2 linked regions of the Saccharomyces cerevisiae S288C genome follow. The protein of the gene in region 1 interacts with the protein of each later gene in a biochemical or structural test. Each region holds a gene or a part of one and is shown in the gene's direction. Other genes may lie near its edges. The genes, in order: ACF2 and YSC84.

What was found.
Region 2: the proteins of ACF2 (region 1) and YSC84 interact in a test that uses a peptide from one of them, tested with the Saccharomyces cerevisiae proteins (one study listed by BioGRID).

Annotation. Positions count from the first base shown.
Region 1 is NC_001144.5:425,862-434,014, reverse strand, and holds ACF2 (endo-1,3(4)-beta-glucanase), read left to right. Parts: upstream 1-1,998; coding exon 1,999-4,338; downstream 4,339-8,153. Other genes in the region: YLR146W-A (uncharacterized protein), read right to left, coding at 1-145; SPE4 (spermine synthase), read left to right, coding at 290-1,192; RMP1 (Rmp1p), read right to left, coding at 1,242-1,847; DPH6 (diphthine--ammonia ligase), read right to left, coding at 4,629-6,686; PUT1 (proline dehydrogenase), read right to left, coding at 7,399-8,153. UniProt on the Saccharomyces cerevisiae protein: Cleaves internal linkages in 1,3-beta-glucan.
Region 2 is NC_001140.6:134,486-141,566, reverse strand, and holds YSC84 (Ysc84p), read left to right. Parts: upstream 1-3,111; coding exon 3,112-3,158; intron 3,159-3,326; coding exon 3,327-4,686; downstream 4,687-7,081. Other genes in the region: argininosuccinate lyase ARG4, read left to right, coding at 165-1,556; YSC83 (Ysc83p), read right to left, coding at 1,716-2,873; MIP6 (Mip6p), read right to left, coding at 5,034-7,013. UniProt on the Saccharomyces cerevisiae protein: Essential for the organization of the actin cytoskeleton, fluid phase endocytosis and vesicle trafficking, together with LSB5.

The DNA of each region.
Region 1 (8,153 bases):
CCTTTATTTGTTCAAACTCGTTAAGATCGCAGCGAATTTGAGAATTCGTATCCCGCAACTGAGCAAATAACTGTTGTATTTCATTTTGCAACATCCGGGCATGCTCTACTGACGCTGTAGTCTTTTTTTTCTCTTCAGTGTCCATGGCTACTTCGAGCTTCTCTTTATTGCTAGATCCTTTTTAAGGTTATCTCAAAATTTTTCAAGTTGCTGCTGATTTTAGTTAAAAATAAAATATCAAAACGCCGATGAGACAGGCAGGATAAAGTGACAGATTCAGTTATACATTATGGTTAATAATTCACAGCATCCTTACATCAAAGATGGATGGTTTAGAGAGATTAATGATAAAAGTTTTCCGGGCCAGGCCTTTACTATGACCGTGGACTCAATACTTTATGAAGCCCGCAGTGAATTTCAGGACATCTTAATCTTCCGTAACAAGGTATACGGTACTGTTTTGGTCCTCGATGGTATTGTCCAATGTACGGAATTTGATGAGTTTGCCTATCAAGAGATGATCACCCACATTGCCATGTTTGCGCATTCTAATCCCAAGCGTGTACTTATCATTGGCGGTGGGGACGGAGGTGTCTTAAGGGAAGTAGCCAAGCACAGCTGTGTAGAAGATATCACTATGGTAGAAATTGACTCATCAGTGATCGAATTATCCCGTAAGTTCTTGCCCACATTGAGTAATGGTGCTTTCGATGACGAAAGGTTGGACTTGAAACTTTGCGATGGCTTCAAGTTCTTACAAGATATAGGTGCTTCCGACGTCCATAAGAAATTTGACGTCATTATTACAGATAGTTCTGATCCTGAAGGTCCAGCTGAAGCGTTTTTTCAAGAGAGGTATTTCGAACTATTGAAAGATGCTTTAAATCCTAATGGCGTTGTTATTATGCAAAGCTCTGAAAATTTTTGGTTAAATTTAAAATACTTACATGATTTGAAAAATACAGCCAAAAAGGTATTTCCTAATACAGAATATTGCTATACCATGGTTCCAACCTATACATCTGGCCAATTAGGTTTAATTGTTTGCAGTAATAACGCCAATATACCGTTGAACATTCCGCAAAGAAAGATATCTGAGCAAGAACAAGGGAAGCTGAAGTACTATAATCCTCAAATACATTCTAGTGCGTTTGTTTTGCCTACTTGGGCAGACAAGGTCATTAATGAATGATTTATTAGCATTGATATTATTATTTTAAAAAGTCTATTTACTTGTATATTTATCCGAATATGCCATCAATGGCTGATTTGTTCTTCTTTTTCCTTTTCTTTTTCTTCTTACAGTTCTCTGTCAGAGGCTTTGGTATAGACGTTATCACTAGTTCGTTTTCTTGAACGTTGTTGCCAATATCTTCATCTATAATTTCTCCAAGTTCTTCGACATCGTTCACAACCGATTTTGCTTTTGTTCTCGGTAAGTTCTTTATTAAGCATCCACATCTTATAAACTCAGTTTCATTAATCTCCCATAATCTCATATACAGTGCCCTCACATTTGCCAGCAATGTTACTAGTGTACAACCCAACGTTACAAATTGTCCCAGCGCAATTACGCCATTGAACTGCCAGTACCATCTCTTTAACTGTCTAAAAAGTGCTCTCTGTAATAGCCTGTGCAACTTGACCCATTCAACATCTTTAAGGCGTTTGGCTTGTAATCTTCTCGAGCTAAAAAGCGTTATTATTTGTCCACAATTTCTTTTCATCTCATTGAACGATCCATACCAGCTAGCCGCTCTATGTTGATTTTTGTTCCTATGGTTCAAGAGCAATATTAACCGATATTCTTGCTCCAGAGATCGTATCACATTATCCATCTCATCCATTTTGTTTCTGCTCTTTTTTTTTTTGTGGATATATCATTCTAGTACTCATTTCTTTGAAGTTTTTTTCTTGGAACCATAAATAAAATTCATGAATTTCTGAAAAGTGCTAGTATCATAAAAACAAAAATAAATAAATACGAGAAGTAAAAAGATGTGTTACAGTAGGCAAGCCATTCCTCCACCTGTTCCTAATAGACCTGGCGGTACTACCAATAGAGGACCTCCTCCCTTACCACCTCGCGCAAATGTTCAGCCACCAGTTTGTTCTTCTGAGAACTCCAGTAAACCTCGAGAAAATAGGGTGGCAGGTGAATCACTGCGCACACCAAGCAGTTCTAACCCTTTAGCTGACAGCCAGGTGAATAGTGACAATATTTTTCAATCACCTGTCCTTTCTAACTTAAAAGCTCCTCCTTCCGTCTTCAACAAAGTTCAACACCCGGTACCAAAGCCGAATATTGATGATCAATCTGTTGATCCATTGGAGACAAACAAGTTCTACACAAACATGTTATTAGACGATAATACACAACCTATATGGACACATCCTTATTCAATTTGGTTTTCTCGTGATCCAGAATTGTTTGGTTTGGCCGCCAATCATACTTTAGCGTCTCAAAGGGTTTTTGATACAACTACAAATCCTCCCAGATTCTACTTCAATCCCACAAATATAAAATCATTTGTATTCAAGGCCAGGGAATTTGTCTCTTCAAATGATATCAAGCTTGAATTCCGGGATATGAAACATATGTCCATGTGCTTACTAATGTCTTTGAGTAGTTCCCAGTTTATAGAATTCCCGCTGGTTCAGGGGATGGGCTTTGTCACGGCTATTTACCACGATTTGGGTTTTGAATTAAGAAGCGCCGTTGGTTTCAGGAGCTTAGAGCGCATAAGCGTGAATGAAAGATATGGTAAATATAATATACAACTTGAGAATAATAGGAATTGGATACTTTATTTGACCTCACCTGATTACTCTTTTCCACAAGATTTTCAAATTTCATTACTCGACAGCAATACAATAATATCATCTCATAAAATCAATGGTCTTATCTGTCAATTATCTGCAGACTCCGTCCCCAGTATTGACATGGCAGCGGGCTGTTATCCAGTATACTGTGACCTATCAGGGCAAACTGTTGATGAACATTTCACAAATTACAGATTTAACTATACGGTTGCAGGCTACTCGCAGTCTGGAACTACTCTAATGTATGCTTTACCACATCATAAAGCGGCATTCACACCAGAAATGCAGGAACGTGAAATTGCCTCAAGCCTGGATTCCACAGTTAAAGGCTTAATGACTGGTTATCTCACAAACAGTTTTGATATGCAGGTTCAAGTACCTCAAGAATTGGGCTTTGAACCTGTCGCGTTATCTTTGAATAAGAAGGCAGATTACAGTCAAGAAAAGCTATCTAAAATTCGGGAAGCTGCTGTTCAAGAAGTTCAATTGAGTGACCCTCAACAAGAATCAAACATAGATTCTATGTATTTCTCTGGTAAGATACTTGCAAAGTATGCGTGGATTCTTTATGTGACACATTACATCCTTCATGATGAAAATTTAACAAAAGAATTATTATCTAAACTGACTATTGCAATGGAGAGATTCATCAGCAATCAGCAAGTCTTACCTTTAAATTACGACGTTAGTTGGAAAGGCATAATTTCATCAGGCTCTTCTAGCCAAGACTTTGGTAACTCTTATTATAATGATCATCATTTTCATTACTCTTATCATGTCATAACGGCTGCCATTATCTCTTTAGTCGATTCTGATTTAAGTGGAGTTACTAACAACTCCTGGTTAGAAAATAATAGAGATTGGGTTGAGTGCTTAATTAGAGATTACTCTGGTGTTGACAACGATGATCCGTACTTCCCTCAATTTAGGTCATTTGATTGGTTTAATGGCCATTCATGGGCCAAAGGACTATTTCCAAGTGGTGACGGTAAAGATGAAGAATCTACTTCAGAAGATGTCAATTCTTGCTATGCGATAAAATTGTGGGGGTTGGTAACTGGAAATTCTAAGTTAACTGACATAGCGAACTTACAACTCGGCATCATGAGAAATGTTTTCCAGAGCTACTTCCTATACGAAAGCAATAATACTGTCCAACCGAAAGAATTTATTGGTAATAAAGTTAGTGGTATTTTATTCGAAAATAAAATTGATCACGCCACGTATTTTGGCATGGAGCCTCAATACATTCATATGATTCACGCCATTCCTATAACATCAGCATCTTCATGGGTCAGAACACCAAATTTTGTCAAAGAGGAGTGGGAAGAAAAAATGCAGCCGATAATTGATCAAGTGAATGACGGTTGGAAAGGAATAATCATGTTAAATATGGCTCTGCTTGATCCAAAATTTTCGTACGACTTTTTCAGCCAACCTGATTTCAACAGAAATTTCCTAGACAATGGGCAAAGCTTAACTTGGTCTTTAGCTTATTCAGGTGCTTTTTCTTAGGGGTCAGAAATATATACAGTGTTAGTAGCATGGTACAAGTGTTACGATAAGGTATTTTATAGAATGATCATTTTTTTATATGAATATTGGTTCCTAAACCATCATCAATAATCAAATTATTACAGAACACACCTTAATTGTGCGGCGTATTCTAAATTTTACGTGTTCACAATATGGTGTTGTTCCTATGATTTGCTAACATATTTGGGATCTGTCTATCATTTACACCGCCAGGAGCGTGGACAGCGTATATCTATTAAGTTTATAAAATATAAGGCCTACATTTGGAGTTAGGAACGAATATGCAACCCAAAGCGGTGTTCTTTACCACGGTAATCAAAAAGTTTCTCCACCGGATAGTATCCAATGTGATGGTGGAAAGTGATGATTTCTTTGGGATTATAATAGAGGGTAATCTGGGCTGATTTTGGGGTTTTTTCCAAGATAAGTTCTAACTCCTCTCTACTATCTACAAATCCCGTAATAAAGTTTCTATTATATCCAAACGCACTAACTGTAGTGTTATGAAAACCTTCAATATTCAAATTCAATTTCTGGAATACGGTTGAAACATCATCATTCTCTTCCCTTTCTTTCTTGTCGGAATCATTATCGTCCACTATTAATCTCTTACAAGTAACACCACCAAATTCTGCAACAGCGCCTCTAGGTAATTCAGAAATCTTTACAAGAACTAGGCATTTTTCAACATCATCAGATTTGTCCATCCATAGATCTGATCTATGATTCATATTTGAACAATAAAACGCCCATGTTTTGATGACAGAGTCGAGAACCGATTCGTCTGAAATATAGCATGTCATGAGTAACTTTTCTTGAGCTCCTATTGTTTCACACAAAGTATCAAAATGTTGTAATGCCAAAACTATTTGGTCAGTGAGAGGTGTTCCTAATATTTCCATTGACTGCGGTACTAGTCCGATTTGCCCACTGATAAAACTGACTTGGTTTGCATCATCGTTTAACCAAGTACTTTGGGAATATGGTCCGATATTACATGGAGCCCAATATGAACGGCCTTGAACATGTAGTCCGCCCTTATTCTTGTTGATTTTTTCTTTGCCTGTATTTTTTACATCAACAACAACTGATAACTGTACGTGACAATCTTCTGGCAAGCACTTCGAACCTACGCATGCTCTTGATGGTGGCAAAGGTCCGTATTTTGACAAATCTAAAAATTCATTGTATATTTTGTTGATTTTTCCGAAATTAGACATATCTCTAATTAATAATGACGCAGATAAAATATGATTCCGTGGAATCTGGTTGGAATGCAGAATGTCGGCTAGCTCAGTAAAAATATCTTCACTTTGCTTCTCGACCGTCTCACTTTTACGTGATTGTAGGTTAGAGATGTACAACTTATCATTGGTTTTATTGATTGTCGTTTGTGGTAGAGCATTCGACATGTGATTTTCAAATCTTTGTTCTCCTGTTTTAGCTTGTTGCTTTGGCAAATTTTGGGTTAAATCTTGCCAATTATTACCAAAAATCGAAGGTACAGGTAATTGATCTAATTGGTTGAGTAAAAAACTTTTGCTCAAATTACGCGGTTGAAATTTTACCTTTAACCTTGCATTGTGAACTTCACCATCGCTACATTTGACAATATCAATTAATTCCAAGTATCCATGTTGGAAAAAAGGGGCATCCAAGACCATTGTCTCAAACTCCCCACCCTCTCCACAGATATGAACTTGATAAAGTTGGTTAAGTTTCTGTAACACCGGTTGCATCATAGGCAAGGACATTCCTAAATGTTTCTCGTTCAATCCAATTGCTGCCACCTTGATTATCCTGGCGTCAAATTTATTTCCTGAATTAGTATCGTTTTCAACATTGTTAACATCCTTGGACATAAGGCACATTTCACCCATTAGTTCGGCTTGATCCCTTTGCCATAAATAGCTTAGCACTACTAGACCCAATCTGGAACAAACATTTTCCACTCTGGTCCTCTGGTAAGACGATAAGATGGCACCTACACTAACAGCTTCTAAATCTGGAATTTTATCTTTGACAGTTCTTAGAAGTTCAAATAGTTCTTCAATTTCATCATCCTGAGTAGCAGTATAATTCAACTCGACGTTGTTAGAAGTGTTCCGTAATATTGAGCGTCTAAATAGTGGAACACCAATACATTTAGAATAATAGTCTATTAAGTCATGTCCTACTGTTTGGAACATGAAAGAGTCTAATTCTTGCTCTTCTGATTCTTTTGGGTATATATTTCCCAGGGCAATCAATTCATGGTTGTTCTTCAGGCAGTGAAAAATATTGTAGAACGAGTCCTTCCCACCTGATATTAATGCTATAAACTTCATGATACTGACTTATTGGGCTTTGAATTTTGATATAGCTTTATCAAAGATTTCCGTTTGAACTAGCTATTCATCATCCATCAGATATAAGTGAAAAAAAGCTTCTTTAATAGAAGCTTAAAAAAATTCTCCGCGACGGGGAATTGAACCCCGATCTGGCACGCGACAAGCGCCCATTCTGACCATTAAACTATCACGGATAAGAAACACTGGAAAACTATGTATCCCAAAATCCCATACGTTGGTTTACTAACACTACTAGATGTATTATTCATAGGTACCCCAAAATCCTTACAAAGAGACAAGGCTGAGTGTATCAAGCAAAACCGCTTTAAATCTGATGTTCTGCGCTTTCTCCCTTTGATTAGATTCAGGTCTTATGTAGTTTATAGAAGATGAGTACCTTTCTTGTGCATAAGAGTTGATAATAAGCCTGACGACGACAAGCCACTTTCCTACCGATTTAGGATTGGCAAAACATCTGGTACTATTCGAACCCATAATCAATAGGAAGAAAGCTTTACCAACAGATTGTTATTTAAGTGGTTCAAGTATATTAACTCTTGATATCCGTGCGTTTACTTTACTATTAGTGTTATTATCATTACTTATATATAATATGTATAACTAGAACATCAGAATTATGTATGCATACTTTTTTTTTTTTTTGGTTTTTTGGTTTGTCTTTGAAATTGGAGTATATATTATAGTCCTCTCATAGGCCTACTCTTTTTGGAATCGACTTTGCTATGGCCTTGATTAATGGCCAGCCATTATCAGATCTCACAGCATCCCCGTTTTCTTGCAATCTTCTCAAAAGATAATCTTTAGTTTCCAATGGTGGGCCCCATGGGACATACTTGATTATGTTTTTAGCGCCATGGTTGGTAATTAGGTCATAGGTAACATTATCTGCCATACCTAGTAATTGCCCCAACACAATGTTCGATTTGGCATAAGAGTTGTCTTGGGTAGATTTTAGCAAATTAGTAACGAGCATTTGGGATTGGTAATTATGAGAGGCGACAACCAAGTGACCAAAATAAGAATCCTCGCCATTGATGATTAAATCATTGACAACTTGAGTGATGATACGATCGTAATTTTCGTCAGTGCCCGTTTTATCGCCAAAGATAATTTGGTTACGGTTTTTTTCAGAATGAATATAAGCACCACGAACCAGTTTCAGCCCAAGCTTATAGCCGTTTTCTTGGGCCAGCTTCAATTCGTGCAAAATATGGTCACCAGAGTCCCTTAGGTACAACTGCCAAGTACCGACACATGATATCAGTTTAGATGAAGTGGGATTGAATTTTTGAAATAAGATTCTCTGTAATTCGTAAACACCATTCTCCTGCAAATCATACTTCTCAGCGTCAATAGTGGAAACCATAAATGGGGCCTTTCTTTCAGGGTACTTCTTTAACAAAGATTGATTTAGTTCAAAAATCTCTTTTGTAATCTTAGAGC
Region 2 (7,081 bases), on another chromosome or scaffold:
ATAAGCTGGCGCAAATTGAAACATGTGAAAAAAAAAAAAAAGGATTATAAAAGGTCAGCGAAGCACAGAACTCTGAGATAAGACTACCTTTCTTTAGCTAGGGGAGAATATTCGCAATTGAAGAGCTCAAAAGCAGGTAACTATATAACAAGACTAAGGCAAACATGTCAGACGGCACTCAAAAACTATGGGGTGGGAGATTCACTGGTGAAACCGATCCTTTGATGCACCTTTACAATGCGTCTCTTCCGTATGATTATAAGATGTATAAGGCAGATTTAGAAGGAACTAAAGTATACACAGCGGGCTTGCAGAAGTTGGGTCTTCTAACGGAGACAGAATTGGCAAAGATCCATGAAGGTTTGGCTGAAATCAAAAAAGAATGGGACGCTGACAAATTTGTCCGTCATCCAAACGACGAGGATATCCATACTGCGAATGAAAGACGTCTTGGTGAACTAATTGGCCGCGATATTGCTGGTAAAGTCCACACCGGTAGATCCCGTAATGATCAAGTTGTTACCGATTTGAGAATATACTGTCGTGACATTGTCAATGACACCCTCTTTCCAGCTTTAAAGGGCTTGGTTGAAGTTCTAATTAAGAGGGCCGAAGGTGAGATAGATGTCTTAATGCCAGGCTACACACATTTACAAAGGGCACAACCTATTAGATGGTCTCATTGGTTGAGCTCTTATGCAACATACTTCACCGAAGATTACAAGAGACTGGGTCAAATACTACACAGATTGAATCAATCACCACTGGGTGCAGGCGCTCTTGCTGGTCATCCTTACGGCATTGATAGAGAATTTTTGGCTGAAGGTTTGGGTTTCAATAGTGTAATTGGTAACTCCTTGGTTGCTGTTTCTGATAGAGATTTCATCGTGGAGTTGATGTTTTGGGGAACTTTGTTCATGAACCATATTTCTCGTTTTGCTGAAGATTTGATTATATATTGTACAGCAGAATTTGGTTTCATACAGTTGAGCGACGCCTATTCAACAGGTTCTTCTTTAATGCCTCAGAAGAAGAATGCAGACTCGTTAGAGTTGTTAAGAGGTAAATCCGGTAGAGTATTTGGTGATCTGACAGGATTCTTGATGAGTTTGAAGGGTATCCCATCTACTTATGATAAAGACATGCAAGAAGACAAAGAGCCACTATTCGATTGCTTAACAACTGTAGAGCACTCCATGCTGATTGCCACAGGTGTTATTTCTACCTTAACTGTAAATAAGGAAAAGATGGAAGCTGCTCTCACGATGGATATGCTAGCTACCGACTTGGCAGATTACTTGGTCAGAAAGGGTGTTCCATTCAGAGAGACTCATCACATATCTGGTGAGTGTGTCGCTACTGCTGAAAGACTTGGTCTAAGCGGTATTGATAAATTAACCTTGGAGCAGTATCAAAAGATCGATTCGAGATTCGGACAAGATCTTTTTGAAACTTTTAACTTTGAACAAAGCGTTGAAAGACGAGATGCTACTGGTGGAACCGCTAAATCTGCTGTATTGAAGCAATTGGATAATTTGAAATCCCAATTAAATTAGCAGATGGCGACGTTATGCGCAAGAATTTCATCAGGTCTGGTACTTCTAGGACTTCATCAACCCTTCTTTAAATACTTATTTTGTTATTAGTATTATATTTTCGAGATTGTGCTATGTATATATATACGTAGATAAGCAATTGTTATCTAATCAAGGATATTATTTGGATGATTTAGAAGATGACCGGCAAAAAAACGAAATAATGCTGCTATATACCTTGGCTAATCTTCCTCTCAAGCGTTTCAGGGAAAGACGTGTGTGATGGTTGAATATAAGTGAAGCAAATGGCCATGAGACTAAATAACTAAAACGGCCGCAATAATACACACTATTGTAACCTCCCAAAGTCGTTAACCAACTTAGCAGTTGTCTTAGTTTATACCCATTCGCACTCATTATCATTTTGTAAACTGGATAATGTAGGGCCTCGTGAATGTCTGAACCGGCCATTCTCAAAAATTTATAGTTCGATGGTTGTGACCCAATCTGCAGGATTCCAAGCTTGATTGTGGAAACATTTAACCTTTGATATTCCTTGAAAATTTTAAATAGTGAGTCGATTATTCCAGACGTTATAATTTCTGTACTATGATGGACTAAGTTCAGGTCCGCAGTCAAAGATGGATTGAACATAATTAGTTGGGTTTTTCTCTTCAAATGGGGTATAATGCTTAATAATGCTTGATAATACACAAATATACTTGAATGAATTTCAGATTCCAATGAGTCACATGAAATTACTCCGGATGGATGATATGATAACCTTGGCATAAACAATATGGATGCTAGCCTTGGTACATCAACAAAAAAACCCTCGAAGTCTTTTTCGCAGGTGGGATCAATGTAATATATGAAATCCTGATCTTCTTCGTGCTTCTTATAGACGTCTGCATTTTCAGTACAAATATATACTGTAAACCGTCTGCGATATAAATCCATCACTTGATTCCTTATGATAGGATCATTCATATCGCCCAGTATTAATACCACTTGAGATTCTGCTTCAGGTAAATTAGGTGGCAGTTTAAAAAAGGTCCTATACCCAAGGTATAAGCACAGGGAGGTGGCAGAAATTCCCAAGCCTAGCTTCCAATGATCCTGGAGCCCGATCCTCAAAGTTTTATATACTTTAGATCTGTTACTGTCGTTTTCCTGTAGTCGAGGAGTCTCCTTGTTGGATATCTTTCCAGATATGGATTCAATTGATTTTTCGACGTGGTTCTTGATCTCATCGCTCAAGACAGCGCTTTTCGAGACGAGCCAATACCCAGCATCAAATATCTGATCCACTATATCCTTACCACCAGACCAAGCCATTTTTATTTGTTTTTTTGAGAGCAAATATCTTCTGTTGTCTGTTTTATATTTCCTGTTTGTATGCCACCTACAACATTTTTACATGTTCCGACGCTGACCGAAAACGACCTGAAGGGAATTAAAGTTGACTACCCCCTAACTAGACCCTGTTCTTAACATTATCTATAACATGAAACTATCTTACACTTCACAGTAAAATTTTCAAGAGTAGTGGTAATATCAAATCCAAAATCCAAAAATGGGTATCAATAATCCAATTCCTCGAAGCTTGAAAAGCGAGACCAAGTATGTTCATATATATGCTTCCTGCTGCCCCTCCTCTAAACTTATGGATGCAGCTAAAATGTTCAAGATAGCTCTCTAGTCTGTGTCCATTGCTTATGGGGCATGAGTTTTCAAAAGTAATGTACTAACAACTTTATGATTGATTTATTTCGAATGTTTTAACTACAGGAAGGCCGCGAAAGTTCTAAGGAGTTTTGTTAAACCAAATCAAGTATTTGGAGCAGACCAAGTTATTCCACCATATGTGCTAAAAAGAGCTAAAGGTCTAGCAATTATCACGGTTTTAAAGGCTGGCTTCTTGTTTTCAGGGAGAGCAGGTTCTGGGGTGATTGTGGCCAGGTTAAAAGACGGTACATGGTCGGCTCCCTCTGCTATCGCTATGGCAGGTGCTGGTGCAGGTGGTATGGTCGGCGTTGAATTGACAGATTTTGTTTTTATTTTAAATTCGGAAGAGGCAGTGAGGTCCTTTTCTGAATTTGGTACAATTACTTTAGGTGGTAATGTGTCAGTTTCCGCAGGTCCTCTTGGAAGAAGTGCAGAAGCTGCAGCTTCTGCATCCACAGGTGGTGTCTCGGCAGTTTTTGCCTATTCCAAAAGCAAAGGTTTATTTGCCGGTGTGTCTGTGGAAGGTTCAGCCATCTTGGAGAGAAGGGAAGCTAATCGAAAGTTTTACGGCGATAACTGTACATCAAAGATGATTTTGTCAGGTAGAGTAAAAGTTCCACCAGCAGCAGACCCCCTACTCCGTATCTTGGAATCAAGAGCGTTCAACTTTACACGCCACGACCATGATGACAACGCTAGCGGTGATGATTTTTATGATGACGGTCAATACAGCGACAACACAAGCCATTATTACGACGATATTCCAGATTCCTTTGATTCTACTGATGAATCCTCAACACGTCCAAACACAAGATCATCAAGAAGAAGAGGAATGTCGCTGGGGTCACGCAGTCGTTATGATGATGATTATGATGATGATGGTTACGGACGTGGTCGCGGGTATGGAGATTTTGATAGCGAAGATGAAGATTATGATTACGGAAGATCTCCAAATAGAAACAGCAGCCGCAATAGAGGCCCACAGATAGATAGGGGTACTAAGCCGCGTGCGAATACCCGATGGGAAGATGATTTGTATGATAGAGATACTGAATACTCCCGTCCCAACCATTCCGGTAGGGATTATGATAATACCCGAGGAAATAGGCGTGGTTATGGTAGAGAAAGGGGTTATAGCCTTGGTCATGGCCCAACTCACCCCAGCAATATGAGCAATGTCGATGATTTATCACATAAAATGTCGAAGACAGGGTTAGGTAATGAATCCACTGCTACAAATTCGGCGACACCAACGGCTGTTGCTCTCTACAATTTTGCTGGAGAACAACCAGGCGACTTGGCTTTCAAAAAAGGTGATGTTATTACTATCTTAAAAAAATCAGATTCTCAAAATGATTGGTGGACAGGCAGGACTAACGGAAAAGAAGGAATATTCCCTGCAAACTACGTTAGAGTTTCTTAAATTATCGTCCTCCATATGTCTCGTTCCTATATATAGAATTTTTTTTTAGAGTTATGAAGTTGAGGATGGGTTCCTTATTCAGCTATGTTTACGAAATGTTTGTAGTTATATAATCACAATGGAAAGCTTCGAGGAACCACTTCTTAAGTACTCACTTAGTAGGTGGAGTATTTCTTGAAACTGGACTATACGCCATTAAACTAAAAAAAAATCGAGGCTGAAACTCCTTGGAATAATTCTGGGTAGATTAAGATAGCAAAGAAAACAATACTCTATTTTTATAGACATACGTACTTTTGTACCGAAAATTGCATATTGATGAACCTGCCTTCTTCCTTTAAAAGGAATCAAACTGTAAATCCGAGGCTTTCAGCAGCTCTAGTGACTTGTTTTTGTAGAATTTTCTGTGATTCTAATGAAGTATTTGTCATTAATAAAAAGTGCGATAGCCTTTCTGAGTCATGCTCCCAAAATACGTCAAAAATAAACTCGGAAATGCTGCGCAGATTTTCTTCTTTATTTAAACCAGAAATACTTATACGTTGTAAATTTCTGTTTATAATTTTTTTTAAGGACTCAAGTATTTCTGCATTCTCCTGTTTAGTTCTCTTAGGCTGATGCAGTTTTTCGTCAACAGTATTTGTAATTAAATTAAATGCTGGATGAGGTTTCATCGGCGTAGCTACGAGAGAGTTCATGTTTGTGTAGGAATTTGAATATGATGAGAATGGGGAAACTACTTGTTGAAACTGTGACGTTAATCCCTTTTGATGAGCTGATAACTCTTGTGTGCGGAAACGCATCATGGAACTAATGTTGATTAATTTCTTATAATTTTCATTGTTGTTACCATCGTCATAGTCTATCTCATTTAGTATATTATCATTATTCTTTGACCATGATGCCTCAACCAAACTACTTCCAATTAGTCTCCTATCCAAAATATTAAATAATCTCTCAGCATCACTACGAGAAAAACACTCAACATGTCCACAAAATGTCCAATTTAATGAGTTATAGTTTGTGATCTTAATTTCACTGAATCTTATTTTTTCTTGTAAACATAGTTGAGAAATAAACTCCTTATTGCAATTGAAGCTTAAATTTTTTAGATAAACCTTTGTTTTCTTGTTCGTTCCAATTTGATTATGAACAGGCTTATCTTTACCAGGACCAACCCAAATGGTATGGTTTTTAAAAATTGTTTTATTCAAACATTTCTGTGCCTTTTTAGATTCTTCTTCATTTTTATATGTGACGAACGCTTTATGTGGTGTGTTCGCCTGCTTTTCAGAGATGAATACAGATTTTATGGGGCCAATAGTGCTGAAGTAATCCAAGACCTCTTCTTGTGTTGTGTCAGATGGTAAATTTTTGACTAATATTGTTTTCGAACGAGCATTATCTGATAAATTATTGCTAGCCAATAGTTCGTCTTCGATAACTATGTCGGAGCCAATCATTTTTTTTCTTTTTGTAAATTCAGGTCTAGTTCTTACTTCTTTGTCAAAATGCAATCCACATATAATTTTATTTCCAAAAAATTCTTGGTTATTGTATTTTTTGATTACATTTCTAGCAGAAATATCGTTATCGAAATAAACGAACCCAATGTTTTTTCTTCTTTCTAGAAGACATGACAGTACATTTCCGTACTCGATCATTATTAGATAAAATGATCTTGTGGTCAGTTGGGGATTTTCCAGTGGTAAGTTAGAGAAAAAAACATTTGTTCCGATGTTTTTTCTAAATAATGTATTTTTCATAGATGGCATTATTTTAACTTCTTGACCAAAAAAAACCGTATAATTAAATTCTTTCCTTGCAGATTCTGCATCGTTTTTATCCTTGAAATTCAAATAGCCATAACCCAATGATTTTTTGGTGAGAAAATCACGACACACTTTAGCAGATTCAAAAGATTGATACCTTTTGAATATCTTCCTTAGCATTTCTTCAGTGACAGTTGATTTCAGATTTCCTATAAACAAACTATTTGTCTTTGAAGTTTTCGTGATATATTTTTGCACGCTTCCCTTTGCAACAGTTTTTTCAAATACTTGCTCTTGTTCTTTCTTTTCTTGAGTTGCATTTTTACAATCGTATTTTTTGAGGCTATTCTTTTCTTTGACTTCAGCATCCTTTAATTTCACATCACCGAGCTTATATCCAGCTCCTTGCACGCGTACTAGTGCTTGGGCTGATATCGTTTTGAAGCTTTTCTGCCTTGCATCTTTATCATTTGGGCAACTTTTAGAAATCGATCTGGGATTTTGCTTGCTATTTAAAGAGATATTATTCAATACATTACCATGAGAGTTTGGCATCTTTTTTTAGGGAATTTTTCGTATTTCTGCTTTTATTGACTTGGATAATTCATTATGTTAAGTAAGCT